5 linked regions of the Oryctolagus cuniculus genome follow. The protein of the gene in region 5 purifies or fractionates together with the protein of the main gene of each other region. This does not show direct contact. Links are inferred from orthologs where the notes say so. Each region holds a gene or a part of one and is shown on either strand. Other genes may lie near its edges.

Evidence for each region.
Region 1: the proteins of MAP3K14 (region 5) and CAD purify together in Homo sapiens (affinity purification with mass spectrometry; 3 studies listed by BioGRID and IntAct, with this or other methods). This does not show direct contact. The link is inferred for Oryctolagus cuniculus from reciprocal best matches to the Homo sapiens genes MAP3K14 and CAD.
Region 2: the proteins of MAP3K14 (region 5) and IKBKG purify together in Homo sapiens (affinity purification with mass spectrometry; 6 studies listed by BioGRID and IntAct, counting the BioPlex papers as one, with this or other methods). This does not show direct contact. The link is inferred for Oryctolagus cuniculus from reciprocal best matches to the Homo sapiens genes MAP3K14 and IKBKG.
Region 3: the proteins of MAP3K14 (region 5) and BIRC2 purify together in Homo sapiens (affinity purification with western blotting; 3 studies listed by BioGRID and IntAct, with this or other methods). This does not show direct contact. The link is inferred for Oryctolagus cuniculus from reciprocal best matches to the Homo sapiens genes MAP3K14 and BIRC2.
Region 4: the proteins of MAP3K14 (region 5) and TIMM13 purify together in Homo sapiens (affinity purification with mass spectrometry; 3 studies listed by BioGRID and IntAct, with this or other methods). This does not show direct contact. The link is inferred for Oryctolagus cuniculus from reciprocal best matches to the Homo sapiens genes MAP3K14 and TIMM13.

The regions. Positions count from the first base shown.
Region 1 is NC_091433.1:175,753,321-175,757,418, forward strand, and holds the start of CAD (multifunctional protein CAD), read right to left. Parts: upstream 2,801-4,098; 5' UTR 2,624-2,800; coding exon 2,542-2,623; intron 2,337-2,541; coding exon 2,197-2,336; intron 1-2,196. Other genes in the region: ATRAID (all-trans retinoic acid-induced differentiation factor), read right to left, coding at 3,121-3,225, 3,423-3,520, 3,789-3,910, 4,009-4,080. UniProt on the Homo sapiens protein: Multifunctional protein that encodes the first 3 enzymatic activities of the de novo pyrimidine pathway: carbamoylphosphate synthetase (CPSase; EC 6.3.5.5), aspartate transcarbamylase (ATCase; EC 2.1.3.2) and dihydroorotase (DHOase; EC 3.5.2.3).
Region 2 is NC_091453.1:132,763,940-132,767,955, forward strand, and holds the start of IKBKG (NF-kappa-B essential modulator), read left to right. Parts: upstream 1-1,216; coding exon 1,217-1,403; intron 1,404-4,016. UniProt on the Homo sapiens protein: Regulatory subunit of the IKK core complex which phosphorylates inhibitors of NF-kappa-B thus leading to the dissociation of the inhibitor/NF-kappa-B complex and ultimately the degradation of the inhibitor.
Region 3 is NC_091432.1:94,067,270-94,071,446, reverse strand, and holds the start of BIRC2 (baculoviral IAP repeat-containing protein 2), read right to left. Parts: upstream 2,801-4,177; 5' UTR 2,622-2,800; intron 1,450-2,621; 5' UTR 167-1,449; coding exon 1-166. UniProt on the Homo sapiens protein: Multi-functional protein which regulates not only caspases and apoptosis, but also modulates inflammatory signaling and immunity, mitogenic kinase signaling, and cell proliferation, as well as cell invasion and metastasis.
Region 4 is NW_027208270.1:74,429-77,215, reverse strand, and holds TIMM13 (mitochondrial import inner membrane translocase subunit Tim13), read right to left. Parts: upstream 1,622-2,787; 5' UTR 1,480-1,621; coding exon 1,360-1,479; intron 1,273-1,359; coding exon 1,204-1,272; intron 716-1,203; coding exon 617-715; 3' UTR 501-616; downstream 1-500. Other genes in the region: LMNB2 (lamin-B2), read right to left, coding at 2,428-2,469, 2,716-2,787. UniProt on the Homo sapiens protein: Mitochondrial intermembrane chaperone that participates in the import and insertion of some multi-pass transmembrane proteins into the mitochondrial inner membrane.
Region 5 is NC_091448.1:18,482,470-18,485,969, forward strand, and holds part of MAP3K14 (mitogen-activated protein kinase kinase kinase 14), read right to left. Parts: intron 3,407-3,500; 5' UTR 3,388-3,406; coding exon 3,132-3,387; intron 2,070-3,131; coding exon 2,000-2,069; intron 430-1,999; coding exon 216-429; intron 134-215; coding exon 1-133.

The DNA.
Region 1 (4,098 bases), on a different chromosome or scaffold from region 5:
GTTCCTGCCCTGGCTCCTGGTTCCAGCTTTCTGCTAAGGCAGACCCAGGAAGGCAGTGCCGAAGGCTCAAGTAGCCGAGTCCCTGCACCCACGGGACAGATCTGGATCAAGTTCCTGACTCCTGGCTTCCTGCTCTGTCACCTCGTGTTGTGGACATTTGGTGAACCAGTGGATAGGAACTCTACCTCTCAAAAAAAAAGAAAAATCATGTAAATCTGTTCATCAAGAGGTAGTAATTAATAATTAAACAGGAAGTTTCTGTGGGAGGGAGCAACACATTTAAACTGCATCCAGCTCCATGGAGAAAGGCGTAAGGGCAGATGGACGCTGAGCCTGCTCTTCAGGGACCTGAAGAACAGCAGGGCAGGACCCTCCCCAGCCGGCTGGAGCAAACCGCACATGTGCAGGTGCACTGACAGCGCGTCTCTCTCTCCCACCTCAGAAGCATCGTGCTGGCTGTAGGGAGGACGTGCTCACCTTGTCTCAGCAGTCTATTTTATAAACTCCATTTTGGCCGTGTGCCTGGAGCTGATGAAGTTGACAACTGATGCGCCAACCAAATTCAAGGGACACTGCATTACAAACTAGAGTGTCATGCATTCAAAGACTTTTGATGGGGGCTGGCGTCTGAAGCCACTGGATGCCGGTGTGTGTCCCAGCTACTCCACTTCCGATCCAGCTCTCAGCTGACAGCCCGGGAAAGGCAGCAGAGGATGGCTCAAGTGCTTGGGCCCCTGCCACCCACGTGGGAGACCTGGATGGAGTTCCTGGTTCCTGGCTTTGGCCTGGCCCAGCCCTGGCCGACGCAACCATCTGGGGAGTGAACCAGAAGGTGGAAGAACTCTGTCTCTCCCTCTGTGACTTTTCCAAAATAAATAAATAAATAAATCTATCAAAAAAAATAAAGGTTTATGATGAAGACAGTGGTTCCTTTCCCAGAGCTAACTCTCCAGCATCAAGGTGACTGGGAAGGCAAATTAAGAATTCAGGGTTCAAGACCCAGCTGCACCACTTCCGATCCAGCTCTCTGCTCTGGCCTGGGAAAGCAGCAGATGGCTCAAGTCCTTGGGCCCCTGTACCCACGTGGGAGACCCGGAAAAAGCTCTGGCTCCTGGCTTCAGATTGACGCAGCTCTGGCTATTGCAGACAATTGGGGAGTGAACCAGCGGATGGAAAACCTCTCTCTCTCTCTCTCTGCCTCTCCTTCTCTCCCTGTGTAACTCTTTCAAATAAATAAATAAATCTTAAGAAAAAAAAAAGAATTCAGGGCTCAACAAACCAGGAATTCAAACAAAACAAGTTTTGAGGAATACTAGCCTTCCTCAGGCAGGGCTGGGTCAGGCCAGAGCCAAGAGCCAGTAACTCCATCCTGGTCTCCCATGTAGGTGGCAGGGGCCATCATCTGCTGCCTTGCCAGACACATTAGCAGGGAGCTGGGTAGGAAGTGGAGCAGCCAGGCCTTGAACCTGCACTCTGATATGGGATGCCGGCATCATGAACAGTGGCTTCACCCACAGCCTTCCACTACCACCTTAAGGCTTGAACTCGCACAGGGTAACTTAGTTTCCAAATAGCAGGGAAGGAAGAGGGGAAACCTCACGGTAAAAAGAAACTGAGTTTTCTTATGAGGGGTAAGAATACCACTGACATGTAGAAAGCCAGACAGGACGAGGTATGGGGGCCCAGGTGTCACCGGTGCTGCAGGTAAGCTGTACCCACTGTCACTGGTGGGGTCTCGGTGTCTTTGCCCCTAGTTTAGGTCAACCTAATGCAATGCTCCCAACACAGGACTCCACTGCTAAAACACTTCCACTGGTTGGACTCCAAGGCTCTCTGCGTCCACTGTTACCCAACCTTTCTGCAGGATTTTTTTCCTTACTTCTGCATTCTTGGCAACCTGGGTAACACCCTCGCCTCTCCCCTCTTGCCATGCCTTTGCTAAATACCCACTCATCTCAGCTATGTCTGGTGCCCTGAAGACCCCAACACAGGGGGCAGCTCTCTGCTCCTCCCCCAGCACGGCGCTCCTTGCCACCCAGGGAACTTTGCGACCCCCAACCCAAGGACGGCGCTCTGCAGCGGGTACCCTCCTTCTCCCCGGGATGCCCGGCCGAGTGCCAGCGCTGTCACTAGACTGAGAGGTCACAGCGCCCAGCCAGCAGGCACGCAGAGAGAGCGAGCACGGGGCGTGGCTACCTTGCTGAGGCCGAACTCATCCAGCTCGTCCCTGGGGATGCCGTAGTTGCCGATGAGCGGGTACGTCAGCACCAGGATCTGTGCTTCGTACGAGGGGTCGGTGAGGGCCTCGGGGTAGCCGACCATGCCGGTCTGAAACACTGCAGGACAGAGGCGGGGCTGGGCTCGCGCAAGGGCACCCTTCGCAACCCTGCCCCGCGCGCCCTGCGCGGGCTGCCCAGCGGGGCTCCGGCCATGGCCCCCGAACAGGGCCGGAAGATGGCGGGGTCCGGGCAGGCGGGCTGGGCGGAGAGGGGCAGCATCAGCGCGGGGCGATGAGGTGGGCGCCCGCCCGGGCTTGCTTACCTACTTCGCCGGCCGTCGACACGGCGGCCCCGAAGGGCTGGCCCCGCAGGACCGAGCCATCTTCCAACACCAGGGCCGCCATGGGGACGGAGCTGCGGCGTGGGGGAGCGCGGAGACGCGGGGAGCCCCCTGGAAGCACGCGAAGCGGCGCGCCGGATCGGTCCACGTGGCTGCCCGCGCCGGGCGCCGGAGAGAAGGCGGGCGCTGCAGGCGCTGAGCCCCTGGCGCGCTCGGCGGCTGCCGGCACTGCGGCGGCGCGGGCAGCCGGCGGCGCGGGGCGGGGCCGGGCGCGGAAGGGGCGGGGCCGGAGGAGGCCGCCCCCGAGAAGTACCTCCCACCCCCATCAAGAAACACAAAGGCAGGAAGCCCTTCCTAAAGAGAGAGAAGTGTTTATTCTAATAGTCAGCAGCACAAGTGGAATCGCGCACGGGCCCGCGCCTGACACTCCTGGCGGCGCAGTTCCCCGCCTGCCTTCCGACAGCAGCTTCAGCCTGGAGGAGCCGCCACGGGCCCACCGCGCGCGTCTGGCCCGCAGATCTCCCTGGCTGGTGGTCCTAGAGCAGCAGAACACCCCTGTGGTCAGGACGTCTTGGCTTTTCGGCGCTGGGTCCCCCAAAGCAGGACAGAGATGGACAGGGTGGTGGATCCCAGAATCCCGAAGAACATAAGCAGTGAGAACGAGCCCTGGAACAACAGATCAAAACCACACTCACTCCACACCCCAACCCAGCTTCTCTCCTGTATACCCTCCCCGTCTTCCCGGGCACCTCTACCGCGCTCCTCCCCCGGGGAGTCTGCATAAGCCCCTCACCTCTGGCTCTGCTTCCAGGGAGGTTCTTACCATGTATGCCTCATCCCAATCGCAAGGCCCAACTCCTCACCTGGCGCATACACTTGTATCCATGGAAGCCATCAGCACACACACACTGCAAGAAACCTGGACCATCGGGGGCGCAAGAGCCATTCTCAGGGCACATTTCTGGGAGACAGAAGTAGAGAACATCGCCGGATTTCATTAGGTGTATTTCTGAAACACCTTTTCAAGTTAGGTTCTCTCAGTCATTTCCAGGTCAAAGGGACAGGAAAGATTACAGCTCATCACACCTAATAATTACAGTAGAACGTTTAAGATCTTTTCTTTCCAAGGGTCGTTAGAACCTCAGAACAAAATGCATTCAGGCATTTTTGGCTTTCTGCTCTAAAGTGGAGAACTGTCCAAGGAAGGAAGGTGAGGTGAGCCAGCGTACCTGGGTCTCCAGTGCTGTTACAAAGGTTCTTTTGCCCTTGGCAGGTTTGGTTGTCTGCGTAAGAGGTGACGGTGTCCCAGGCACTAATACCCCCAGGACAGCTGACATCATGCGGCAGTACCCTGAAGACAACACAGTGGTCATAATACGCAGCCTAAGCTGCTGAGCTCATGGCACTGCCCCCTTTGGTTCTCTCCCTCCATCTTGTCCCCATACTCACAATGTCTGGAGCTGTGTAAAGCCTCGGAAGGTGTCGGTCAGGTCACCCTGGAGGGGGTTTGTTTGCAGCTCTCTGCAAAGCACACACGGT
Region 2 (4,016 bases), on a different chromosome or scaffold from region 5:
TCGTCTCTTCCAGCTTCTGGTGGCTCTGATTTTTCCTTGGCATGTGGCCACATCTCTTTATTATCTGCTTCTTTTTTTTTTTGACAGGCAGAGTGCACAGTGAGAGAGAGAGAGAGAGAGAGAAAGGTCTTCCTTTGCCGTTGGTTCACCCTCCAATGGCCGCTGCGGCCGGCGCACTGCGGCCGGTGCACCGCGCTGATCCGATGGCAGGAGCCAGGTACTTCTCCTGGTCTCCCATGGGGTGCAGGGCCCAAGGACTTGGGCCATCCTCCACTGCACTCCCTGGCCACTATCTGCTTCATTTTTTTTAAAAAAAGATTTATTTATTTGAAAGGCAGATAGAGAGGGTAGGATGGAGAGAGAGAGATGTTCTGTCTGCCGTTTCACTCCCCAGATGGCTGCAATGGCCAGGGCCAGGCCAGGCTGAAACCAGGAGCCAGGAACTTCATTTGGGTCTCGCACTTGGGTACAGGGACCCAAGCACTTGAGCCATCTTCCGCTGCTTTCCTGGGTGCATTAGCAGGGAGCTGGATTGGAAGTGGAGTAATCAGGCCTTGAACCAGTGCCTATATGGGATGGTGGCTTAACCCGTTACACCACAATGCTGGCCCCTTCTGACTGTTTTCACCTGGCTTTCTTCCTTGCATGTTTTCCTCTGTCTTTTGTCTTTTATAAAGACACTTGTTAATGGATTTAAGGCCCACCTGAATAACCCAGCAAGCTCTCATTTTGATCAAGGCCCTTAGTTTACATCTGCAAAGATACTTTTCCCAAATAAAGTTGCATTTATAGGTTTTGGGGCTACCATGCAGCCTACAGTACTTGGGAGGGAACATCCCCTCCGGCTTGAGGGTCTGTGTAAGGGTAGGGGTCCCAGCGCACACCGATGTCTCCTGCTACAATAATCCTTAGTTTTCTGCCTCTGGCAAAGTTCCTGCCTTAGGTGTGCATCCTGAAGATGGGTGCTGGTACAGAGTCCGTAACCAGTGCTAAGCCATGGCCTGTGCAAGTCTCACAGAGGTGGTTCAGCATCTTCCTTCGGAATGAGGGTGTTTGTGACCTCTTAGATCGAAACCCCATTTCGGCCAGAGGGATCAGCATTTTGCCTTCATGGCCCCAGAGCTCCTGCACAGAGTGTACTTATCCTGCTGGGGATGAGAATTCCCCTGGGTCTCATGGGATGCCTTTGCTGCCTTTCTCGAAGAGCGTGCCTTGGATGAGCAGGCAGCCCTGGAAGAACCAGCTGTGTGAGATGGTGCAGCCCAGCGGCGGCCCGGCCGGGGACCAGGACGTGCTGCCTGAAGAGTCTTCTCTGGGGAAGCCGGCCATGCTGCATCTGCCCGCAGAGCAGGGTGCTCCTGACGCTCTCCAGCGCTGTCTGGAGGAGAACCAAGAGCTCCGAGGTGAGGTGGACAGCAAGTAGGTGGGGCACAAAGTCAGGGGATCTGGTCCTGCTGAAGGCAAGGCTTCTCTCGTGCACCTCTGCGTCTGCTGGGTGTGGGGCGAGGGCACCCCGAGAGCCAGCTTGTGCTTCCAGCGTAGCTACCTTGCCTCCTGGTTCCAGGCGGGGTTCCCTGGGAGCAGACCGAGGTGCATGGCAGGGTCAGTACTGAGGCAGAGAAGGGAAGGAGATGGGAGAAAGCAGGGGTGGGCAGCAGAAGTGGGCTGCCTTGGCTGACCCCCAGGGACTCTGGGGCTGGACTGACACTTCCAGGCTGGACCAGCGTGGCCCAGCCTCAGAGGACCTCTTCCCTGGGAGGGGACTCAGACTTTCCTGGGGTGGGTTGCGGTCTTGTTTGAGAGGGGGGTGCTGTGGCCTGTCCTGGGAAGTGGGTGTGGCCCACCCTGAGAGGAGGTGGTGTTGACCAGCATGAGAGGCATGACCCCTGCTGCAGTGGGGTAGCTGATGCCTCAGTTGTGTCTTTAGTTGGCCATTCATGTCCTAGTTGGCCAGTGGCTCTTGCCACAGTTGTAGTCCCATTCCCCACCTCCTTAAGTGAGTGTTGGATGTGATGTAGGGTCTTTTGCTGATGAGTCACGTGCTCTGTGGCCTCAGGGAGTGGTGCTGGCAGATGCCATGCACGCAGGGAGCAGACCTGGGTCTGGAATGTGTGTCCTCTTCCTAGGAGACAGCTAGCCACCAAGAGACTGCTTGGTTTCCTTGAAGGTTGCATTGGAGAGGCCCCGCCTTTTTTTTTTTTTTTTAGATTTATTTATCTGAAAGGCAGAATTACAGAGAGGCAGAGGCATACAGAGAAAGAGAGGCCTTCCATCCGCTTGTTCACTCTGCAGATGGCCTCAACGGCCAGAGCTGTGCTGATCCCAAGCTGGGAGCCAGGAGCTTCTTCTGGGTCTCCTATGCGGGTGCAGGGGCCTGAGGACTTGGGCCATCTTCTGCTTTCCCAGGCCATAGCAGAGAGCTAGATCGGAAGTGGAGCAGTGGGTCTAGAACCAGCGCCCATATGGGATGGTGGCACTGCAGACGGCGGCTTTACCCACTATGCCACGGCGCTGGCCCCGAGGCCCTGTCTTGAGCACAGAGCAGCAGTGTCTTCTACCTCAGTTCTGTTGACCTCTGGGGCCAGCTAATTCTCTGTGGTGAGGGCTGTCCTAGCCATTGTGGCATGGTGAGCAGTATCCCTGGCTTCTACTCACAGGTGCCAATAGTGCCCCTCCAGTCCCCTGGGAGTCACAGTTGTCCTTGAGTGGGACCCACTGTGCTGGGGTCTTCAGAACAAGTCATGCACATAGAGCTGGCAGCCAGATCGGGGCCTCTGCTCATCCCTAGGGGCCCAGAGCATTTCAGAGCAGTTGTGCAGGGCTCATGCCATGGCCTGTGGTGGCTCGGCTCTTCTGCCTCCTAGACTGTGTGTTCAGCACAACAGCTTTGCTAAGTCTCTGGCAGCAAGTGGAGACTTGAGGCTATATTGCCTCCAACTGGGAAGCTGGATAAAGCTTGGGGGGCAGCATGTGAGACCCCCGGGGCCCTGAAGGTGATTGTCCCCCAAGGTGCTCATGATTGTGTCTATAGGTAGGCTGTGAAACCAAACAAGGGAGGGTACAGTGTTTGCTCAGAACGTTTATGAAGAAACTTCCCGGAAGAGCTTGCCTGTATTCACGTGACATGTCTCAGAGACAGAAAGCAGTTGAGTGGACGCCAGGAGTGCGGGCAGGGGGCCTACGGGAGAGAATGCTGCTGGGTTTGGGGTTTCTTTCTGGGGTGCTGGGAATGTTCTGGAATTAGGTAGTGCTGATGGTTGCATGATCTTACAGCTTCATTAGCTAAAAACCACTGGATGACTATACTTTAAAATAGTTAAAATGGTGAATTTGATGTTACATGAATTTTTACGTCACTAAAAAGAAATTTAAAAGACATTGCACACAAGTTGAGACTCGGGTTGAGTGGGCAGGCAGCAGTGATGGCCAAGGGTTTGGAACATTCAGTGATGTGAAACTACTGTCTACCTCTGTTGGATACGGTTCTGTGGTTGCCCTAGAACCTTGCACGTCACTGATCGCTTTTGTCAGATGCTTCTTCCTCTACCTGGGGTGGTCGCTGGGTATGTGGCTTTCCTCTCCTCTGGCCTCTGCCAGCCACCTGCCGCTGGCACTGATATATGCTCATGGCTTAGTCTGGCGAGAAGAAGACTGCTCTTATTTATTTATTTATTTATTTATTTATTTATTGACAGGCAGAGTGGATAGTGAGAGAGAGAGAGACAGAGAGAAAGGTCTTCCTTTTGCCGTTGGTTCACCCTCCAATGGCCGCCACGGCCGGTGCGCTGCGGCCGGCGCACCGCGCTGATCCGATGGCAGGAGCCAGGAGCCAGGTGCTTTTCCTGGTCTCCCCATGGGGTGCAGGGCCCAAGCACCTGGGCCATCCTCCACTGCACTCCCTGGCCACAGCAGAGGGCTGGCCTGGAAGAGGGGCAACTGGGACAGAATCCGGCGCCCCGACCGGGACTAGAACCCGGTGTGCCGGCGCCGCTAGGCGGAGGATTAGCCTAGTGAGC
Region 3 (4,177 bases), on a different chromosome or scaffold from region 5:
CAGTGTAATAGAAACCAGCACGAGCAAGACTCCGTTCTGAGACAGGAACACCGTTGGGGAAAGCTGAGTAGGTAGACATTCTGTAGAGTTCGCAAGAGAAGTCATACTTCATTTTTTGTTTGTTGTCATTTGTCCAAGTTGACAAGATGGTGCTGTCTTCCATCATATTCTGAGTTCTTCAATACAGGGTCCTTGGGACTACTCTTGGGGAGGTAGTTTTGTGCATGAGTAGGTGACAGTATTTCTTGATGGCTAAAACCTTCACATGAAACCTCTCATCTCTTCAGAGACTTCACCACAGAAAGGAATCAAATGACTGGTTGACTTACGCAGAATTCACCACACCTGACTGGTGAGCTTATGGTAAGGTGGGATAAATAAATCTCCTAAATTACCAAGATACTCTTAGTATTCTTCAAGATTGTATTCACTTTTAAGTAACTAAAGAGCTATTTACTCATTGGTATAACAATAATGTAACGGCCTGAAAAAGTTCACGCACTTGGGAAATGTTAAAACTTGATTTTTCTAAGAGGTTTATATTTTCCAAATACTAAGCAACTACAGATTATCTCAATTATGACTCCAATTCGCTTTTGGTTATAAGCTATGAAGCTTGGACATCAGGCCAATCACTGATTATTTCACAAGAGAAAAAAATCTATATGCAGGATTGTTTCCCTGTAAGCACCTTACTATGACATCCAAATTTTTTTTCACTTTCTTCTAGTAAACAAAAGTAATTAAAAGCTTCATTTATAAAAGTCACATTATCTAAAGGCTAATTTCACATAGCTTATCGTCATAGTATTTACTTAAATAGGTTTATTAGCTTCAGTTAACAATTCTAGGGTTAAGTTAGCATCCACCAGGTTTGTTCAATCTATACCTAGTACAGTGTGTATGATTATCAAATGATTTTTTGCTTAAAGTTCACAAGCTATTAACTCCTCTATTTTTGTTAAATATTACCTGTACTTGTTTCCATTTCCTGTAGCATGTTGTCTTTCTAACTTTGCACGCCACTTGATTATGACTGATCAACTGCCAGTACTTTCTTCATAAACTTAACTAGTTAACCATAGAAAGTTCCACAGTACACACTCTTTACACTGCATTTAAAAGTTAACCTGCTCTTTTTTTAAGGACAATTCAGCTGTAATATCAGTCATGTTGTAATTGAGGATGAACCAATTTATCAAAATACACAGCTTGTCCTTTCTAGTGTTATCACAACAGAATTACTGATTCCACATAATAGACCAGTGCTGAACTCCCAGCCTTCGTTCTGAAAACTCAACACTTTTAAAATTTAATTCATACATAAAATTACACTCCATAGAATTCAAACTATATTCCTTTATAAAGTTTCAGGGTCTCCATAGTGGGATTTATTATCTTCAAGGGGAGAAAAAATGGGGGACAAAGAGACTCTTCAGAGCCATAAATCTGAAAAGAAAGAAAAGGTATTTTAGAAAACTATTTGCATGCCACATGAAGCTTACAGATTATGCAATTTATTCAGTGGAGTCTGACTGACACTTTAGACAATATGTTAATTCCAGCAATCTGTCACCAAAACTTTCTAATTGGACATGCTCTTAATTTAAATAAATGCAAAACAGCTCCACAGCATGAACTATATCCATGTCTTTACAATGTACAGCGTCAAAGACAATTCCACACGTGGAAACACTGTCTTCAGTCTCCTCCCCTTTTCTCACTTCAGGATAATTATCTCGGGCACTTTGGTGGAGGCACAAAGGGACAGAACTGGAGACTCCATTACTCCCTGTCTGCAACGGGGCTAGCAGAGACAGATCCGTAAAGCGATTTTTAAATGTTAGGTCTTTCCAGGGCTAGAAAAACCAGCTGGTCTGGTGGGGCGTTAAAGACATCAGGAGGAGCTCATTAATACAAATCCTTAAACCATACCAGCTGCCTCGCAATTCCAAAGCCGCCACCACTACAGACAGCCAACTCGAAAACAAACAGTAACATAATAGTCCCTGCAACCCTGGGCCTGGCACTGTGACCGCTTGCATGAATGCACACTTTAATTACACCATGTCTCGTATCTTTAAATTTTAGCTCTTTATCTACAAGCAGCATATTGCTACTTTTGATCTCTTTAAGCAAGCTGTAGGTGGGCAGGGGATAAACTGGAAGGGAAAAGAGGAGAAACCGTGCGGCTTTAGCCATTAATTTCTAGGAGTTATTTCAAACAACACACAACAGACAACCACCGCAGCAGCGGACCGCAGAGCCTTGCAAAATGTGAGCTCTCGCGTTCCCACGGACCACGGAAGCCTAAGTTTACAAGTGCGCAAAAACTCCCTAGAGCAACTATCTTGATCAAAGTCCAAAGGGCAGTAAAGCAGGCGGCGGCCAGACTTGAAAACGAATCATTTAAAAAAAAAGCAGCCAGTCTCGACTGAAAGTCTTTTGAAGTTGGGGCTTCCGAATTAAATACAAGCCTCGGCGCGGGTAGAAACCACACAGCCCACGGCGCCCCAGGCCCCGTCCTCCCTCGCCCGGCCGCAACACCAGGGAAGTGGGCCCCCGCAGGCCCGCGCCCCGACCCGCCCCGCGCGGCCGGCCCCGGAAGGAGCCGCACTCACCGCATCGCCAGCACAGCAAACAGGGACCCAGCTCGGGGGCCTGGAGGCCTCCGCACAACAGGAAGGCAGTGGGGCCGAGACCTCAAGCGGCCAAACCCGGCTCTGCCGGCCTGCGGCGCTCCCCAAGCCCCCTACCCCGGCGGGGCCGACGCGGACGCACGGTGACGTCAGCGCGTCCTGCGGGTCGCCCACGTCCCCCGCCGCGCGAGGGCGCCCGGGAGTCTGCGGTCGGAGAGCGGAACGGAGCGCTGGGTCACCTCCGGGAAGGAGGCCCGGAGGCCCGGGGAGGCCCGGCGCGGCCCGGCGGGTCCGCCCACCTGGAGCGGCGCGGTCGTTCCGCGGGGTGCTGCGGCTCGTTCGCCTGAACTTGGCGTTTGCACGTTTTAGCCGCGTGGTTGGCGCCCCTGTGACATCTGCCTCTTCTCTGCCGCGGACGTTCTCCTGAGGGGGACGTGGCAGAGCGTGAGCGGTTGCGTTGGAGGCTCGGGAAACCCTGCGGAAACGCCCTGGCGCAGGGACTGCACGTCGCGGGCCGCCCCCTCGTTGGGTCCGGGCCCCCGCGGGACTCTCGCCGTGCTGCCCCTCGTGCGTGTCCCGCAGCGCAGCCCGGGAGCAAGCCAGGGTGCACAGCCGAGACATGCAGCGAGGACGGCGTCAGGAGATTGCTTTTGAAAACTTGAAGCTTTTTTTTTTTTTTTTTTTTTTTTTTTTTTTATCAACCAGCGTTTCTTTTTTTAAACTTTCGGTTTCCTGCTCTGGAGACAGGCTCCAGGGGAAGAGCTGTGTTTTATTTCAAATGTGCATTGTTAGCCACGAGAGTCAGGCTTCAGTCCGAGGATTTGCTGGGTTTGAATAAAATGGAACGTATACGTTATGTACGTGCACACATATACAGGAAGCGCCAAGGAGTTCACTTACGAAGACAAAGGATTTTTTTCCGTATGGGGACGTGATGGAACACGCGTAAATAAACCTTGGTTGCATTAGCCTGGGCCATTTGGCTCTCGTCCTCTGCGGCGTGGAATGCGGCTGCGCTCCTGGGCCGTGGGGTACATGTTGTATCGCGGTGTCTGTGAAAATAGGCTTTGTCAATGAACTCAGATGCTTGCTTCTTTCCGGGGAACTCCAGGGGCAAACATTTCAAAAACTTCCAAATAAGCCACTTAATTAGGCAGCCAGGGGAATTCCAACACACTGAACCATTTCCCATTTCCTGTCCTGTCATTTCTGCCTGCCAGTCAGTCACAGAGCAGGAGGTCCTCTGTTCCATGGTTGGTAGTAAAAAGAAAGTGTGATAGAGGAGAAATGCCACGGCTCCCAATGACTAAAAACTTCCAAAAATGCACATGGGTCTTGGTAGTAGTTTAGTATTTAGTTCAAGTTATGTTTCTCGGAAAGTTACAAAACATTCCCAAAATATGTGGGAAAAGTATATAGCAAGAATTGTTCATTCTGAATTCAAGATTATTTCTCCTTTTCAGTTCTTGTCCTGACCAAAAAAGGTAATGAATGTACTTCTGTAGAGGGGGAAATTTTGCATTTCAAAAGCCTTAGAT
Region 4 (2,787 bases), on a different chromosome or scaffold from region 5:
GCGGCCGTGCGCGTGCTCAGCGAGCAGACCTGCCGCCGCTTCTACCCGGTGCAGATCAGCAGCCGTATGCTGTGCGCCGGCTTCCCGCAGGGCGGCGTCGACAGCTGCTCGGTGAGCGGGCGGCCGGGGGTCCCGGGCCCTCCCCGCGGCCTCCGCTGAGCCCCCTCCTCCTCCTCCTCTCCCTCAGGGCGACGCCGGGGGTCCTCTGGCCTGCAGGGAGCCCTCCGGCCGCTGGGTGCTAACGGGGGTCACCAGCTGGGGGTACGGCTGCGGCCGGCCCCACTTCCCCGGCGTCTACACCCGGGTGGCGGCGGTGAGAGCCTGGATCGCGCAAAACATCCAGGAGTGACCCTGCCTGTGCCAATAAACAGCTCCCGCCCGCAGCCCGACGGCTCAGCGCCTCCTTGTCCCGCGCGGGGCCGGGGGGGGGGCGGGGGGGCAGCCTCGCAGCGGGCACCGCACTCCCCCGCCCGCGCCCAGAGAGAAATGCGGGTCCCCGCGCTGGCTCAGCCGTTTATTCGCCCTCGCGGGGTCACAGCGGAGCGGGGCCCGAGCGCCCCCTCCCCACCAAGGTCCAGACCCGGCCCCGACGCCCGGCCTGCGGCGTCCGGCTCGGTCACAGGTTGGCGCGCTCCCGCTGCAGCCGCGAGGTGTAGGCGCGCGACACGGTGTTCCAGGCGTCCATGTAGCGGTCCATGCACATGGCGATGCACTTCTGCGGCGGGGACACGCGGCTCAGCCGGGGACACGCGCGCGCCCCGGCCCTCCCCGCCGGCGCCGGGACCCCGCGCCCCCGCACAGGCCTCCCCGCCGGCGCCGGGACTCCGCGCCCCCTCCCCGCCGGCGTCCCGCGTCCCTGCACACGGACACCCCGCGCCCCCTCCGCCGCCCCGCGCCCCCGCCGCCCCGCACACACCTCCCCTCCGGCGCCGGGACCCCGCGCCCCCTCCCCGCCGGCGTCCCGCGCCCCCGCCGCCCCGCGCCCCTGCACACGGACACCCCGCGCCCCCGCCGCCCCGCACACACCTCCCCGCCGGCGTCGGGACCCCGCGCCCCCGCACACGGACACCCCGCGCCCCCGCCGCCGCCCCGCGCCCCTGCACACGGACACCCCGCGCCCCCGCCGCCCCGCACACAGCTCCCCTCCGGCGCCGGGACCCCGCGCCCCTGCACACAGCCTCCCCGCGCCCCCGCGGGACTCACCTGCTCCGAGTTGTCCAAGGAGCCCCCCGGCTTCCCGATGCACTTCCGGAAGCACTTGTCCGTCATTCTCTGCGGAGACACGCGCAGGCCTCAGCCGCGCCGCCCGAGCCCGGGCGCCTCCGCCTCCGCCTCCGCCGCGCCGCCCCCGGCCCGCACCTGCAGCAGCTCCTGCGCGTTGGCCACGGCGATCTGCACCTTCACCTGCTCCATGATGAGGCCCGGGTCCAGCTTCCCGCCGCCCGAGCCCCCGAAGTCCGAGCCGAAGCTGCCCTCCATGGCTCCGCAGTCAGCCGGACTGTGGCCGCGCGCACCGACCCGTCTCCGCGCCGGAAGTCGCGCCGCGCGGGGCACCACGGGAAGCGGAGCCGGCCGGCGGACTACAACTCCCACAATGCCCGCGCATGCGCGAGGCGCCACGCTTCCGCCGAATCCCGTCGCGCCTGCGCACTCCCGCGCGCGCCTGGGGCGGAGCCAGGTCACGTGACGCGGCAAAGCCCGGCCCAGGCGACAGCGGCCTGGACGCCCAGGGCGAGGGGAGGTGGCCAGGGCCGGCGACAGAAGGAGCGAGCGGCCGCGGTTAGAATCAAAACGTTTATTGGAGTGTTGTTGTACAAAAGGTTCCAGTCGTAAAATGCGTTACAAACCACGGGAGGGGCCGCATGCATCCGGGCGCGTGACCGGGACCCCCCCCAGGGCCGCGACCCCCCGAGCCCACGCGCACAGGGCCACGGGGTTCCCGCCCCGCCGCGGGAAGGCGTGGGGTGAAGACAACTTCCCTGCGCGCGAGGCGTGCGTGCCCCGGGGGCGCGTGGGGCAGCGCGGGGGCGGGGCCCGGGCGGGGGTCTGGGCGGTCGGCCCGAGGGGTGGGGCTGACCCATGTAAAAAAATAAATATCCATTAAAAAAATAGCGTCTGTGCGTGGGAGGCTCCTGCGGCCGGGCCGCGGCTGACGGACAGGAGCCACGCACCGACGGGGCCGTGCGGGAGCTCCCGGCCGCGACCCCCGCAGCGCCAGCGTCCCTGGGCGCCCGCCGCGCTCGCGGGCAGGGGTGCGGGCGGGGGTCCCGGCCGAGGCGGGGCCCTGCTGGCGCCTCCCGGGACCGCCCCGCCCCGCCCCGCCCCGCCCGCGCCCGCAGTTGTAAGAATTCTCGGGAAATGGTATCGGTGTGGGGAAAGCCAATGATAGAAAACTACAGTCCTCGGGGGCCGCGGGCGGGGCGGCGCTCACATCACGCGGCAGCCTCTCGACGTGGTGCGGGGGTCTCCCTGCGGGGAGGGCGCGCGTCAGGCCCCAGGCCCGGCCTTCGGGGCGCTCCCTCCGGGGAAGGCCCCGCCCGCAGCCCCGCCCGCAGCCCGGGACCACGCGGGGACGCCCCCACCCCGCCCCCACCCTGCCCGCAGCCCAGGACCACGCGGGACGCCCCCCACCCCGCCTACAGCCCCGGACCACGCGGGACACCCCCGCCCCGCCCCGCCCGCAGCCAGGACCACGCGGGACGCCCCGCCCGCTACCTGCTGGTGGAACAGGTCCTCCTCGCCCAGCTCAGCCTGCTCGTCCCCGTCCTCGTCTCCGTCACCGCTCTC
Region 5 (3,500 bases):
ATCGAGGCAGTGCCGGCCGTAGGTCCTCACCAAGTTTCTTAAAACAGAGTTGGCCAAGGCCTGGTTCCCTCAGAGGTTTGGTGAACTGGGGGCTGCTTCTAATATACGGGGTGCCCAATGGAGACTCATCCTCCTGCAGGGGAAACACAGGAGTTAGGACAGGTGTTCAGAAGGCCCCAGGAGCCGGGCTCTGGGCAGGGGGTGGCGGGTCTCACCTGCACGGGGACTGTGCAGCTCTCCTGCTCAGGGGTTCGGGGGCAGGGTTTGGCTAAGGCCACTCCTGCCTGTGCCGGGGACTTTGAGCTCTTCTTCTTCTTCCTTTTCTTGCGGGCTTTGCTGCGACGCTTTCCCTTCCAGCACACACGGGCTGTTCTGCCCTCGGTTGCGTGGGCCACATTGTTGGGGATCTGATCAAGGCCCTCAGACTGGCTGTCAAGAGAGGGCAAGGTGGGCGCTGAGGGCACAGGAGGCAGGAGGATGGGATGGGTCAGGTTAACCGTGGAGTCCACAGATCTGAGATCCAGTGCCTCTGGGTTATGACGGTTGCTTATTGACAGCACTGTGTCTGAGATACGTGTGAGTTCGTCAGGGGAGTGGCAGAGCGTATGCTCACACAAAGCAGGAGTGCTACCAAGTCACGGGGTCGTACAGTAATCCTGTGAGACCACGTCACATCACACGGCATGTGACCACACTCATGCAAATTCGGGACAGGTCTTAGCCAGAGGAACCTCAGTTTTCTCATATGTGAAATCTTTCTGCTGTGCAGGGAGGACACGAGGTTCCAATGAAACAGTTCACTAACAAGCCAACCTCCATGCCCAGCCCAAGGCCAGCTGTCAACACACGGGGCCTAGGACCCTGCTCTCTTGAGGGGGGACAGCAGAGACATGGGCTTCTCTCTGCTGTCCCCTGGAGGGCTTCCAGAAGAGCGCCATGTTCACAGCAGACGTCCTCAGCCCGGACTGGCAGCGGTTTGTTTCTGATGCCTCCAGAGAGAAGGCTAGTTGCTGTCATCATAGTCAGGTTGCCTGCACTGGTCCCTGGAGATACCTGGTTACTGCAGGAAGCCAGGAGCTGCCTGCCTGGTGTCCGGGGACCATGGAGCTTGTCCTTCCTTCTCTGACCACCCAGAGGCTTCTCCCCACCATGGCTCTCACGGGTTCACACCACTGCTAGTTCTGAGAGGAACTGCACCATGAGAGTTTTTGAATGTGGTATGGAGCAGACCACAGCCTCTGCCGCGCTCCTTGGGCCTCACCTTCTGCCCTGAAAATAAAGGCAGGCTCCCCCCAAGGCCTGGGGACGGCTGGAGGCCTGAGCTCCCACAGGCTCCTCTCTGAAGGCTGAGAAGGGTGGGCCCATCAGAAACCCTTGCCCCGGGCCAAGGCCTCCAAGTCAGCAGAGGAGTTCGGCCAAAGTCCGAGGCTTTCTGGCTCCCAGCGGCAGCCCTCCCACCGTCACTAGCAGCTTCCAGATCCCAAGGGTACAGAAGCTGGCCTGCAGCCGGGGGAGGGAAGTGTTTCTAGGCTGAACCCTCAGTTGCCAAACAGCGTCTCTGGGGGTCTGAGAGCTGGGAGTGCGTCCTGCCGCTCTGGTCTGCCCAGCCCCTGCCTCCACAAAACCATCCCCTACAGGTGAGTCTCCAGGGGGAGACACCAGTGGGCTCTCTCCCCAGGGGACGGTGAGGGGACCCCTGCACAGGCGATCACAGACACGCACCAGTAGGAAGTGGCCCCTGTTCCCGGAACCCTCCCTGTTGATGGAAAGCAGGGGTGCCTCAAGGACTCAGAAAAGAACAAAAACAAAGTGTCAGGCTGATGGGACCCAGAGGCAGGCGTCCACACGCCCTGAAAAGGCTCTGAAAGGCTTTACATGCCAAGAGCTGAACCACAGGTGTCTGAGGAGGGAGCCAGGGCCAGCGGGCAGCAGCCTGGGTGCGCAGGGCAGGGAGGACACCAGCTTCGGGTCCCCGGCCCCGCCCAGCAGGCTTTCTTACCTGTACTGTTTTGACCCTGCGATGAAAATGCGTTCTGAAAAGGTGGGGCTGAACTCCTGGCTGTTCTCACCTTTGAAATAAGTGGAGAGAGGGGGGGTTTGCAGAGAGAAGAGAAGGAACACGACCTCAGCAGCAGATGCACCTTAGAGTCCTCCTCTCCCCCCTCAGCACGTCTCTGCCGGCTACCTCCTGGCCCTGGCCTCCTCTCACTGACCGTCTGACCTTCCTCCTGCCCAGCTTCATGGTCAAGAGCAGAAGGGATGTTGAGGATTTGGGGACTGTGGGGTGCCCACCTCACTTCTAGTGTACAGCTTCTGTGAAATGATCTACACAAAGCACACGGCACAGGGCAGTGGCTCCATCCTACACAGAGAAGGACCGTGAGCGTGTATGTTCCACACTGGTTCAGCTACATGTGTGTATCTGTATACCACCACTACTATGTGGCTCGCTCCATTTTCCTTTTCATTCCCTCAGCTCTCTTCAACAAGCAAACAGCCGCAAGTGGGAAAGGAAGGAAGGAAGCCTCATCACTGGCTGTCAGGCCCTCCACGTCCCACCCCTAGAAACCTCTGGGCTTGGAGCGAGTGTCGGAAAGGGGAGAGGACTGCTGGCCTTCCCCGGCCCTCCTAGAGCCGCCACCATTGCCTGTCACCTTGAGGTACTGCGAGTAGAAGCACAAAGTGCCAGGCCCAGTCTCACCCTGGGGTGGCTGCAGCCCTGGACTGGACCAGCATGCCCCAAAGCAGGGTGTTCATCCTGGGGGTTGGGGCCATATCCAGGTGGAAGGTGGAAAAGGACCTGCAAGTCCCAGCGGGGCTTTCCGGGAGACCTGGTCTTTCCTGGCTAGGGCCCCTCTAGGCTACTGGCCCTCTTGATGATCCCGCAAAGAGACCCAAGTCACCTGCCTCTCAGTGCTGCCACCTCTTCTCACCATGGGTTCAGCCTCTGTTCCCCACATCCGCTCTTTCATCTCCCACTACTTCTCACTGAATCTGGGCCATGGCCATGTCTTGTGAGAATCTTATCTAATGGTTACCTTAACCACTCCTTTCCATCAGGGACCCCAAGCCTGGCCTCCTCTGTGTCTAGCCCGCCACCTGCTCCCTGTGCCCACAAGCCAGTCCCTTACATTCAGCCTGGGCGATGATGGAGATGGCGGCTGGCCCGCCCCCGGAGCCTTCCTTGGCTGTGCCCTTGGTAATCACGTCATTTAGGACCTCCCACTTCCCGCAGAACACAGGGCTCTTCTCCACGGCCTCGAGATGGAGGAGGGAGCTCTGCTTCTTCCCCAGAGACTGTGTCTTCTCCTTGGCTTGGGCGAGCTCCTTCTGCTGCCCAACTGCAGAGCCAGGGGTGCCCGGGCAGGCTGTTTCCATCACTGCCATCTTCCACGCTGTGCTCACGCTGTGGGAGACCAAGAACAGAGAAGGTCACTTGCAATCCCAGACCCCCAGAGTGGGCACCAGGCAGGCTTGGGCTGGAGGAGAAATGCAGGGGC